Linked DNA regions of Coturnix japonica. The protein of the gene in region 2 purifies or fractionates together with the protein of the main gene of each other region. This does not show direct contact. Links are inferred from orthologs where the notes say so. Each region holds a gene or a part of one and is shown on either strand. Other genes may lie near its edges.

Region 1 (3,744 bases), on a different chromosome or scaffold from region 2:
AACAGGGCTCAGGGAGCCATCTGTGCTAAGAGCCCTACCACGGACACAGAAAACTCCAAGCACAATGTTTATACATCAACTGCTTCCAAGAAAAGAAGTTTATCTTAGATACTTTTAACATGAACACAACATCAATGGCTTGTAAAAATGAAGTTGGCTTTGCATATCTGCCATAACAGCCCACACCATCCCATTCAGTATTCCCTGGACACAGTTCCTCCCCATTTGCAAGGTTCTATGAAAGCAAAGAGCACACCAATGACCTGGAAACACAAGCAGGCTCCCTAACTACTTTAGACTCATTAACTTCACACTTCATTTAGAAGTGTAAAACTCCATCCAAGGCTTTGATTTACACTTCCCAGGTTGTACTAGGAGAGGGTTTATCAGTGAGACCCCTGCAGAACAGAAGGATGCTTACCAAGACCCAAAGAGAGGAGGGTTTGGTGGGAAGGGGGGGATGCTATTTACAGGGCACAGTGCAGGGCCCTGCATCCAGCCAGCTCCGGAACTGGAAGCTACAGGACATGTCAGCACAGCTCTCCACTCATTAGCACCATAATGAGAAGAAGAACGTGTCTTTTTGAGGAGCAAAGGGATGATGCAGAACACTTCCCTGAGACACAGCCAGTCCCTTCTCACCACGCTGCCCTACGCTGTGCAGCTATACCCAAACAAACCAGCTGAAGCCACGCTATGTTTCAGATTTATGAAACCTGAGATGCCCCTTTTAAGTATTATGGGCCAGATTTCCCAGCAAAGTCACAGAATCATAGAATCACAAGGTTGGAAAGGACCTACAAGATCATCTAATCCAACCATCCTCCCATTACCACCGCTACCACAAGCTACTAAAGCAGATCTCATAGCTCCTCAGCCAACTGATCTGTGCACAGCACTCTAAGGAAAAAAATAAGAAGGTAAATAGCCATTACCATGAAAACGAAATAGTTAAAAATAACTCCCTGAGGCCAAGAGTAACCATTTCAAAGGGGGATGAGAATGAGATCCAACTATAAAACTCCAATTTGAACATTAACAAACAGCCCTCCCCCAGCACGCAGCAATTACCAGAGCCTTTGATGTGGCACAGCCACGCACCTCCGCTCCTAAGCTCAATCACACCAGGCCTATTCCACGTACAGTCAGCAGCATTATGAAGTACATCACAGCCATTCTGCCCACGGAGCTCAGAAATTCGGACTGCTGACACAAAAGCCAAAAACGTTACAGAGTTGCTGGGCATCCCTGACAAATAGAACGGGCTCATAGTGTCATCAGCAAATGGCTGGGTTGGAAGGGACTCAAAGGCCACCTGGGTACCCTGTCATGGGCTGCCTGCCCCTCTGCTCAGCCTGCCCAGGGACCCTCCATGGCCTGGGGCACCCCCAGATCTGAGCAGCCTGAGAAAGGCTACATTAGGAAGGTGGGACGCCCACACCGCTGTGGCTGTAACTGTTTGAGCAGAACCCGTTGGCTTTCAGAGCGAGCCCAGCAGCGAGCTCCAGCTTCCGAAGAGCTTTAATCTGCTCCTGGTTCGCGGCTATTATTAACCCCGGGGATAAACTCGCGCTGTGTTAATCAGGTGCTCGAAGCGATGCGCTCTCCGAGCAGGTAAATACCCTCCGCCTTCAGCCCCGGGCACAGCACCGCCCGCAGCGCCCCGAGCGGGGCCTGGAGCCGCCGGCCCGTCCCGGAGCCGGGAGAAGGGGCCGATTCCGTTCGGGCCGCCCTTACCTTGTAGACGTCGCCGTAGGTGCCGCTCCCCACGCGCTGGATCAGCTCGTAGTCCTGCTGCGGGTTCCGCCGCATGATGTCCCCGCTCGGCCGCTCCATGGCGGCGGGGCCCCGCGGGCCGCCCTCCGCTCCGGGCCGCCGCTCAGCACGGCCACCGGCCCTCGGCCCTCATGGCTGCGGCGCCGGGAAGTGCCAACCCTCCCGGGGAGGGGTCTCGGCCGCGGCTGACAAAACAAAGGGGCGCTGGGAACGGCCGTTGGCCGCGGCTCTGCGGGGAGGGGGTCCCGGCCCTGAGCGGCTCGGCGGCCCCGCAGCCAGGCCGGCCTGCCCAGCCCAGCCCTGCCCGCACTACCTGCGCGGCCCTTTGTCCCGGCGCTGAGGGATCGCCGCCGCCTCCTTCCTCCTCCTTCCTCCTCCCTTCTCCTCCTTCCTGCTCCCGCCGCGGCCCCACGCACGCACCGCGCCGGGACGGGACGGGACGGGACGGCGACTCCGCAGCGCCACGAAGCGGCGGATCCCGACCCCGACCCGCGGCCATTCACCGCCTCCTCCGCCCTCACAGCGCTGCGCTGCACCGAGCGGCAGGCGGGGTCCCCGTACTGCACTGCCCTGCCCTGGATGGCCGCCTTTAGAGTGCTGGGCCCGCAGCTCCAGGCAGACAGAGAACTGCAGCGGGGTGTGAGGCACGTCCCCATAGGGACAGGCTGAGAGCCCCGGGCCGAAGGCTGAGGGGTTCTATTGATGCATATCGATATCTAAAGGGCAGGAGTCAGATTAGTAAAGGCAGAATATTTCCTCCTTCATGGCAGACAGCACTGAGGAGCATTGCCATCTGTCAGGCTGTGGCAATGCAGAAGGCGATGCAGCCTGTGGGGCTGCAGCTGGTGATGCGGTGAGGCCATGGCCTCAGGTTGCACCAGGGAGCTTTGGGTTGGGTTTTACTTCCAGCAAAGCAGCCATACGTCTGAGTAAAACCCACCCGTGCTCTCTGAAATGGCTGCTGTGCAATGTAATAGACCGAAGCGCCCAGCCACGGAGCAGAGGAATGCTGGAATCCACAGCGGTATCAGGCAGTAAAATCATTAAGGCCTACAAAAGGAGGTGTGAGTTCTGAGGTGCAAAAAGCACCACGTACTCAACGCAGGAAATATATTTGCAAAAGCTTGGTAGGATGAATGAAATGGATGCCAGATGTTTGGGCCTTTTGGTGCTCGGGCCTCTTTGGCAGGCAGGCAGCCCCATTGGGCCCAATGCATTGACAGAGCAGCTCGGTGCAGCTTCCCAGTTCCAAATGGAGCCTGTTTTTAGCTTAGCACAGCGCGTTTGGGAGCGCCACGTGCAGGTACCTGAAACCACACCGCCGATTGCGTCAGCTTTTCCTTCCAAACACGGGCTCTCTGGCATAACTCATTAGGATTATTGCACCGTTTGAGGTTGAACTCAAAGGCTGCGTGTGCTGACGCTCAGGAATTGCACAGTCACGTCTGATTTTATTGGGCTTTGATTTATGGGCTCGTTGGAAATGGTGCTTTTCAGGAGCGGGCTCCAAATGTAAACTGCCTCGCTTCCAGAGCGCCAGGGAAGCACGTGACTGCCAACTTAAAGAGATTCACATTTCATTTCCCCTTGTGCTCTGAAAGCTCTCGACATCCTGTATGTTCTCTCCAACATCAATACGTAAGTTTTCCTGAACGCCCAGCAAATAAAGAAAAAAATCTATTTACCCTTCAGGGGGCTGTGTTTCCTCTGGCCATTTCCAACCAAACAATTACCTCTCCCCTAGAAATTGGCTTCCTGCACTCCTGATAGTGAGCTGTTTGTGTCCTTTCCCTCCCCCCCCTTCCTCAGCTGCATATTTGAACACCACTTTTCATCTGACAGACTTTCTGCTCCCGTCAAGCCATCAGATGACAGCACAGGAAAGGCCGTTTCGTTTTCCAGTAGCAGATGGTGCATTAAGACTTGGCCTCCTGCAGCATTTTGTGGATCCAGGAGCTCTGCAGTGTA
Region 2 (3,744 bases):
GACTCGGGCCCGCAGCCTCGGCACCGCGGAGCACGGAGAGGAGGCGGAGCCGTGCGGAGCGCAGGCCGCGACGGAGAGGGCCGCCCTTCGCCGACGCTCGGCGTCCCGGGAAGCCGGGCCTGTGCCGGAGGAGCCTGCCGCTCACCGGAGCGGGTCGAGGGCGGGGGGATCGGCGGCCCGGCGCCGGCCCGCCACACGCGCCCCCCCCCCGCTTCCCCCGCACTCACCGCGCAGCGCTGTGGGCCGCCGCCTCTCCCGAGGCTTGCCGTCGCCCGCTCGCCCCTCCAGCGCCGCCCCGGTCACCGCCCGAGCTCCAGCCCCGTCCCGCGGCTCCCCCTCCGCCCGCTCCGCCGCCGCCACCGTCCCCTCGGCAACTCTCGCGAGAGCGGCCCTGTCACCAACTCGCTGCTCCGCCCGCCGCGCTGCGGCGCATGCGCGTCCACCTCCCGCGTGGCAGACGGGCAGCCCCCTGCGCGCACGCGCAGCTCGCACCGGCAGCCGGGACCGGGCTGCGCGGGGCCGGTAATGCGCTGTTGTATGTGCGCCTCTGCTGGACTGAGCGCGGGGCGCCCTGCACCGCGCAGTGACAAGCACATTCGGAACGTTACTGCTACGGAAACTGCACCCGAGCATGAACGCTGCGATCCTCGGAACTGGGAGGGTGCAGAGATCCACAGCTGGAGCTCTGCAACCGGCTGCTCCGAGCTCTGCAGGGGAAAAACAGGCCTTACAGTGTGCGCAGGGCAGGACCCAGAGCGCACGTGCCGTCACCCCAAGGTCTCATTGCACAGCATTCTTAGAATTCCTTTAGCTCCAAGAGCCTGCAATTAAAATACTCAATTCCTCAATAACACAAGTGCATGAAGAATATTTCCTCATGCTCTAGGGAGAAAAGCTATTTCTGAAACAGGCTTTCCAGAACCGCACTCGCAATCCTAGAAAAAGGCTTTTTTAAAAACAAAAAAACAAAACTAACGACAAAACAACCCACCATCGCGTGCCAGTTTCCCAGAACAAGCACTGACCAGCCACGAGCAAATTACTGACGGTTCTCTCCCCATAGAGGGTGGAGAAAAAGAGCCCTGGGAGCTGAGGATGTTCCACGTGTTTCAGGCATTGTTTGTGAGGATGCACAAGTCGTTTATCGGGGATGACAGACTGCTGCAACCACAGCTCGACTCCAACATGTCTCCAGTCTCGCGCTAGCACCGACCTCGAGTCTCTGGTTTCACCATCTGACTTCAAAGGGAAGATTTAGAATTTCTCAGTAAGTTCAACAACAATCGCAGCAGTGACAGCAGGTACTTGTCACAGGACTTGAACAACCAGACATGGCCAACAGCTGCCACATGAACCACGGCTACTGTAAGAGGCTGTAGCTGCCCGACTTTAAAAGGGCAGCCCTACAAGGGCAAGTCATCAACAGATTTTAGAAATAGCAGAGATCAAAGTGTTATGGAAAAATACTTCTGATAAAGAAGCTGCTGAGATGCACTTACAGATCAGGGAAGGTAGATTGTTCCCCCTCCTCGCAAGCACGTGAACACTTTAAAATGTACAACTTACTGCACAGATACCAGAGCAGCTTCACGGCGACAAAAGCCGAAATCCCAGCACAGCTGTAAGCCCGGGTGGAAGACATGTTTTACTAGAGGATCGATTTCAAATTATGCGCTAGTCCAGGAATAGCTTGAATTCTCTATGACCATTTGTGGTGATAAAACAATCTAAGAATAGTTTTGAGTATTTTAAGAACTTTTAAGAGAAGACTTGGTGCCTGACACTTGGATCTTTTCTTAAACGCCTCAGAGCAGCCTAGACAAATCAATGTGTGATTTTCTGCTACTAATAGATTTTAAGACTACATCTTAAAAATCTATTCAGAACACAGAGAAAAAGTAGCTTTTATTAGTAGCTTACTTGAGACCCACGGGGAATCTGCCTCAGGAACCAAGTAATCCAGCCTCCAAACCTCTGTTCAAGATGCATCTTTAACCTCTTCTTTAAAGCATTTTACTAATTCGGTACATTTTGCTGTGGTGGTGGAACAACCTGAAGAGGAACTAACAAGAGGCTCACGCAGCACTAAGCCCACGATCTCACGTATCCCCTTCCCTGTATCGTGTCTAAACTACAGCAGAAAATCCCCCAGACCTGCCACTATTTCCTTTTAAGCGACTATGAAGGGTTACAGCAACTCATTACCACCAAAGCACAAACAATTTCAGCACCTGCAATTCATCACCAGACGAACAGCGCTTCTGTGAGGAGGATCCTCACACGGAGCAGCGCGTCTCAACCCGGGACGTACGAGCGCCGACCTACGGGGATGACGACACACGCGAACCGTATCGGCTCTGCCGGTAGCTCGGGGCTCAGCACAGCGGCACCACGCGCCGTCCCCGCGTCACCCCCGATTTCGTTCCCATATTGCGCAGCGGTTCAGATTTCTCCTCATGTTACCGGCCTCGCTGCCCCGCGGCTTCCTGCGCAGCGACACTCACCTCAGTGCTCCCGCGCTGCCTCCATCCGGCCGGTGGCCGTGACACACAGCGGCTCCCGCAGGTGCCGGCCGCCGTCCGTCCGTCTGCGGCGGGGTCAGACGTGGCCGCTCCGTGAGGAGCCGCCGCTGCTCAGGGCGACCCGCCGCCAAAGCGCCCGCTCGGCTTCGCGCGCTACTCCGACCTCACCAATCAGCGAGCGGCGTACGGGCAGCCGCCCGGGATCCCACCAACCAGATACCGGCTTCTTGAGGAAGCCGCCGCGAGTCCCCAGCGCCGTGGCGGCCCGGTTCGCCAGTGACGCTGATGGCGGCCCCGGCGGCGCTGGGAGAGGCCGGGCGGCTTCCCCGCCGAGACGGCCCGGTGCGGCTGGTGAGTACAGGCCGAGCGGCGGCGGCTGCGCTCCGTCCCGCCGCGGGGCGAGTTCGGGAGGGCCCGCGCTCCCTCAGTTGGGATATTCCCCCTTCGGCCCCGGCCCTGTATAGAGGCCCTTGCAAAGCCCTCCCTTCCCCTCGGGCCGGAGGCTCCCGCGCAGCGCCGTTACCCTCAGCGGAGCGATACCCGGCGGCTTGTGAAGGAGATAGGAGAGAAAGAAGCGAACAAATGGCAGAACGCTCCGACGCGTAGCTCCGGGGCACACGGACTCGGTGTTCCTGTCATTGAAGCGGCAGCTGGGCCCGCTCGCACGGGGCGAAACGCCTCAGCGCCCACCCGGCACGTCAGGGCTCGTGTGGCGGTCAGGCCGGTACCTGCAAACTGCCCGAGTCTGACGAGCACCTGAAGCTCCCAGCAGGGCAGGAACCCGGCGGATCCATCCTCCTGAAGCAGTTCCCAGTAGCACAGCTTCCCACACACACACAGTTTCAAAAAAGACAAAGCCCCTATGGCAAAATTGATTAAAATCATGTTGTTTGTTACAGCAACAGTAGGAACAAAATTCACAGTTGGACAATGAACAGTACAGCATGCACAAGATGTGATAATGTAGTGCATCTGTATTTCAGATTCCTTAAAAACAGAAGTGTAAACAAACTATTATTAGCTCCTGTGCTATGTTAAAGTGCACATGGAGCACAATTTAAATAACCTAGAAGGCTTAAGAGTCACATTAAGAAATCTCTATAATACAGACATACATGCTGCTGATTTATACAGGCACCATAAGTCCTTTTGGTTAGTACTTCATCTACTCAAGCTCATCAACACTATTCTTAACTTGAACCTTTTAAATAAGTGTATCACC
Region 3 (3,644 bases), on a different chromosome or scaffold from region 2:
GGCAACGCAGGCACATAGACTGCAGCACATGGATAATCTTTATTGGTAACATCAGTGGAGCACCAGTAATCCATTACTGACTGTAGTGGTGACACACAGCTGAGGCACATGCTAAGGCACTTTTATTTTATATATATATATTTATATATATATAAAAAAAAAAAATTAAAAAAAAAAGAAATTAAAATTTCCTTGTGACAGCAATTGGGACACGAGGCTCCTGCACTCAGAGCGCTCCAGGCAGACAGCACAGTGCTCCAGCCTTAATTATCTTTACTTTGCTCATAAGTAGGTCTAAATGCAGCATATACAATATGGTTAAGAATACAGGTAAATCCAGCAACCAGTGTACGGTGTAGAAAAGTAAAGACTATCTCTATATAACCATGGTCCCAATAGAAAGGCAGTGATAAAGACCTTTATTTTTTTATCTTAATTACTTATTACGAGAGATACAAAGGCCTTACATATACCTGTGCAGATTAAAGGGTTTTTAATATACTCTTAGTCAATGGTGCACAATAACTAATCCCAACCCCTGGTTACAGAGCAGGTGCAAGAGGCTCGGACATGTCAATAAAAGAGGGATTTCCCTCCCCTCATCCCCACCCTCTGCCCGCTACCCTATTAAATTCCCCTAGATTCTATTGCCATTAAATATATTTGGTCCCCTAGAGATTCTCAGACAAGCACAAGGACATCATTCTGCTTCCCCAGCCTGTCATCAACTACTGGTCCACGCTACCTTAGATGAAACCGCTCAGAGGCAGAGACACTAACAGGACATCATTGCACTTCAGAGATCTGTCCAGACAGTAAAAACGAGGAGGAGGGGGGAGGGAAGGGGAGAAAAAAAGAAAGGGGAAGGAAATTGTTTTGTAAAAAAGACAACTTTGGCAAGTCCTCCAGGTAGTCCCGGGGGGGTTTTGGGTTTGGGGTGACGGTTGTTTCCCTCTTCACCCCTCCCTGGAATCGTGTGAAAGAAGAAAGGCTGAGTTGCCATGGCCAAAGCACACCGTTTTTCCTGAAACTGCTCCCAAACCGTGTGGGTGGGCAGATGAAAAGAGGCAGAAGTCTGAGGTCACTGAACACGATTGCCGAAAGCAAACAAAGAGGGAGGGGAAAGAATACAGGAAGGAGCTTCCCTGCAGCTAGCATCTGAAGACAAAAAGGAGATTTACAGCAAAAATAATCTTTCCCTAACCCCACTCCCTCCAAATTGTGTAAGGATTCATCAGCAGACGTGGCACAGACAGTTCTACACGACTTTGAAGATGCCAAACTGCCGTTCAGATTTCAGAGCCCCAACTCTTTGGCATTAAATACAAAGAGGATTAGGAAACTGGAAAAGAGGAGGAAACGAGGAACGCAGATGCCCAATGGCTCCAGATACACAGAGCCGGACTTGCTCTGCAGATCCCCAGCCAATTTAAGAGGAGAGGGTTTGCAGAAAGTCCAATGGAAAAGGGGAGGGTGGATGGGTCGTTCCATCGTGTGTAACCTGGGCAAAATGAGAGGACTTATTCAGTAGCTTTGGCATCACCAGCTTCTGCCTTGCCGTCCACTTCCTCATCGGAGCACTCTCCTGTGCCCTTCCTGACAAGCCGACGTGTGACAACAAAGGGCAGGTCCCCGCGCCTAGGGAAGGACAGACAGCACATCAGTAACACCAGATTCACCCCACACACCAGACACGGCAGGCTTGGGAAAAAGGAAACAGACTGTTTGCTGTGGGTGGCTACAGCAAGCCTATGCTGTGCCGGGTGCCAAGGTACCGCACAAAACGCTCTGCCTTACCTGAGTTTGCTCTTGAGGGAGCTGACCTCTCTATTCATGGCATCAGCTGTTTCAGTGGCATCGTCCAGTTCGCGCTGGAGTTTCCTGCGGGACGCGTTGGCTCGCTGGGCCTCCTCTTCTGCTTCCTCAAGCTGGCGTTTCAGCTGCTTCAAGCGCATGTTCGCCTTGTCCGCCTGAGAACGGGCAGGGAAAGAGATCAGCGCTCCCTCGCTTACAGCACAGCAGTTACAGTGGCAATAAGGACAGTTTCCCAAGTCTCCCCTTCCTGAAAGAAGCTGCCTCGGACTTGGCAGCTCCAAGCTTTTCCTCTTAAATACAGAGGATGCCTCGACCATAGGAGAGGAACCCTCCCACCAGCAGACAGTACAATGCTGTAGGTAACCAAACACACCTGATCTTTGAATTGCTCAGCATTACGCCTCTCATCATCCACCTGCAGCAATATATCTTTCAGCTTCTTCTCAGCACGGCGCACTTGCTTGCTGGCAGCCTGGCGCTCCCTGCACAGAAATACAGCGACAGCTCAGATATGAATTTACCCCCTGCTGTCCCCCCATCAAGACCTGACACAGGTAAGTTAGAAACAAAGAGGATATCAGAAATCACACTAATTTTTTATTATAAAAGAAGAAAGAAAAAAAATGGATGGGAAGCAAGGTTTCCTAGAGATGATTAAAAGCTACTAAAAGGTATTGGCACCACAGACACTTCTCCTGACGCTACAGAGGAACAGCAACAGCGCATCACAGCTGCAGCTTTAGGACTGGTTGAGTTTGGCTGAAGCAAAAGGACTCTACAATGAGAGCAAGGATGCACCACCCAGTACCTCTACGATGAGGCCCTCATACAGACAAGGTAGAATTTGCTCAGAAGGGCTTAAAATTCCTGAGAGGGCGGGTGCTTGTAAAACAACCAGAGTTCTGGCTAGGACATACTTGGTCTCCATGTCTAACTGCTCTTCCAGCTGCACTATCTTCGCTTCCAAGGCTGTGATGGTGGCCTTGTACTTGGACTTCACTGCGCTCTCCATCTCCTGCAGCTTAAGCTTAAGCTCCTTGTTCTGGCGCTCCATCTGCTGGCGAGCATTCTCATTCTTCTGTGCGTTGCTGCGCTCAGCATTCAGGTCGGCATTCATCTGATCAATCTGTGGAGAGAAGCAGCCCTTTGTATATCAGGTGTCCCAGTGTGAAAGGCTGACTTTGTTCTTAGACACATGCTGACATGCAAAGAAAAAGGACCCTCAGGGTGAGCTGAACACCTGGAATAACTGCTACAGGAGGAGCTGTCTGTAGGCAGAGATGCAGACTACTACTCAAAACTTCTTAGCTTATTCCAATTTTTTAAAAGTAATTACTTGAAAAACAGGCTTATCAACCTTCTCTTAGGACTATGTTTGCCAATCATGTGCCTCTCCCGGGTGAAGGAGCAGTTTGGCACTTAACGCAATAATTACCAGTCCTAGTGAACTGCATCCGTCCTGAAGGCAAGTGGATTCAATACACGTGCTCTACTGCTTTAGCGATCTATCGCTTACTTGCTGTCTATGTCTGCTTCAACAACAAAGAAGCAGCCTGAAACTACTGACTTTCAAAGACAAAAGGGCAAAAACTCAATCCACTTCCAATCCAGCGCTCTGGCTGATAGTCAAGGAGAAAGTTATGTTCTTTGGAGTAGAGCCACCACTTGGAAAACCATCAGCCAACTTCTTGGCTTTAGAGAGCTAACAGAACAGCATGCCTGACTCCTAAAGTCGGAAAGATAAAGCACAGCAGAGAACAGGCAGATTAGGATCATCGTTTCTATAGCAGCCTAACAAATTCCATATGGATAGTCCATTTGAAGAAGCA

The links.
Region 1: the proteins of GRB2 (region 2) and MAP4K5 purify together in Homo sapiens (affinity purification with mass spectrometry; 7 studies listed by BioGRID and IntAct, counting the BioPlex papers as one, with this or other methods). This does not show direct contact. The link is inferred for Coturnix japonica from reciprocal best matches to the Homo sapiens genes GRB2 and MAP4K5.
Region 3: the proteins of GRB2 (region 2) and MYH9 purify together in Homo sapiens (affinity purification with mass spectrometry; 3 studies listed by BioGRID and IntAct, with this or other methods). This does not show direct contact. The link is inferred for Coturnix japonica from reciprocal best matches to the Homo sapiens genes GRB2 and MYH9.

What each region holds. Positions count from the first base shown.
Region 1 is NC_029520.1:52,486,252-52,489,995, forward strand, and holds the start of MAP4K5 (mitogen-activated protein kinase kinase kinase kinase 5), read right to left. Parts: upstream 2,241-3,744; 5' UTR 1,837-2,240; coding exon 1,738-1,836; intron 1-1,737. UniProt on the Homo sapiens protein: May play a role in the response to environmental stress. Appears to act upstream of the JUN N-terminal pathway.
Region 2 is NC_029533.1:9,419,894-9,423,637, forward strand, and holds the start of GRB2 (growth factor receptor-bound protein 2), read right to left. Parts: upstream 2,660-3,744; 5' UTR 2,505-2,659; intron 357-2,504; exon of another isoform or gene 228-356; intron 1-227. UniProt on the Homo sapiens protein: Non-enzymatic adapter protein that plays a pivotal role in precisely regulated signaling cascades from cell surface receptors to cellular responses, including signaling transduction and gene expression.
Region 3 is NC_029516.1:47,326,742-47,330,385, reverse strand, and holds the end of MYH9 (myosin-9), read right to left. Parts: intron 2,942-3,644; coding exon 2,733-2,941; intron 2,298-2,732; coding exon 2,189-2,297; intron 1,971-2,188; coding exon 1,798-1,970; intron 1,639-1,797; coding exon 1,521-1,638; 3' UTR 16-1,520; downstream 1-15. UniProt on the Homo sapiens protein: Cellular myosin that appears to play a role in cytokinesis, cell shape, and specialized functions such as secretion and capping. Required for cortical actin clearance prior to oocyte exocytosis. Promotes cell motility in conjunction with S100A4.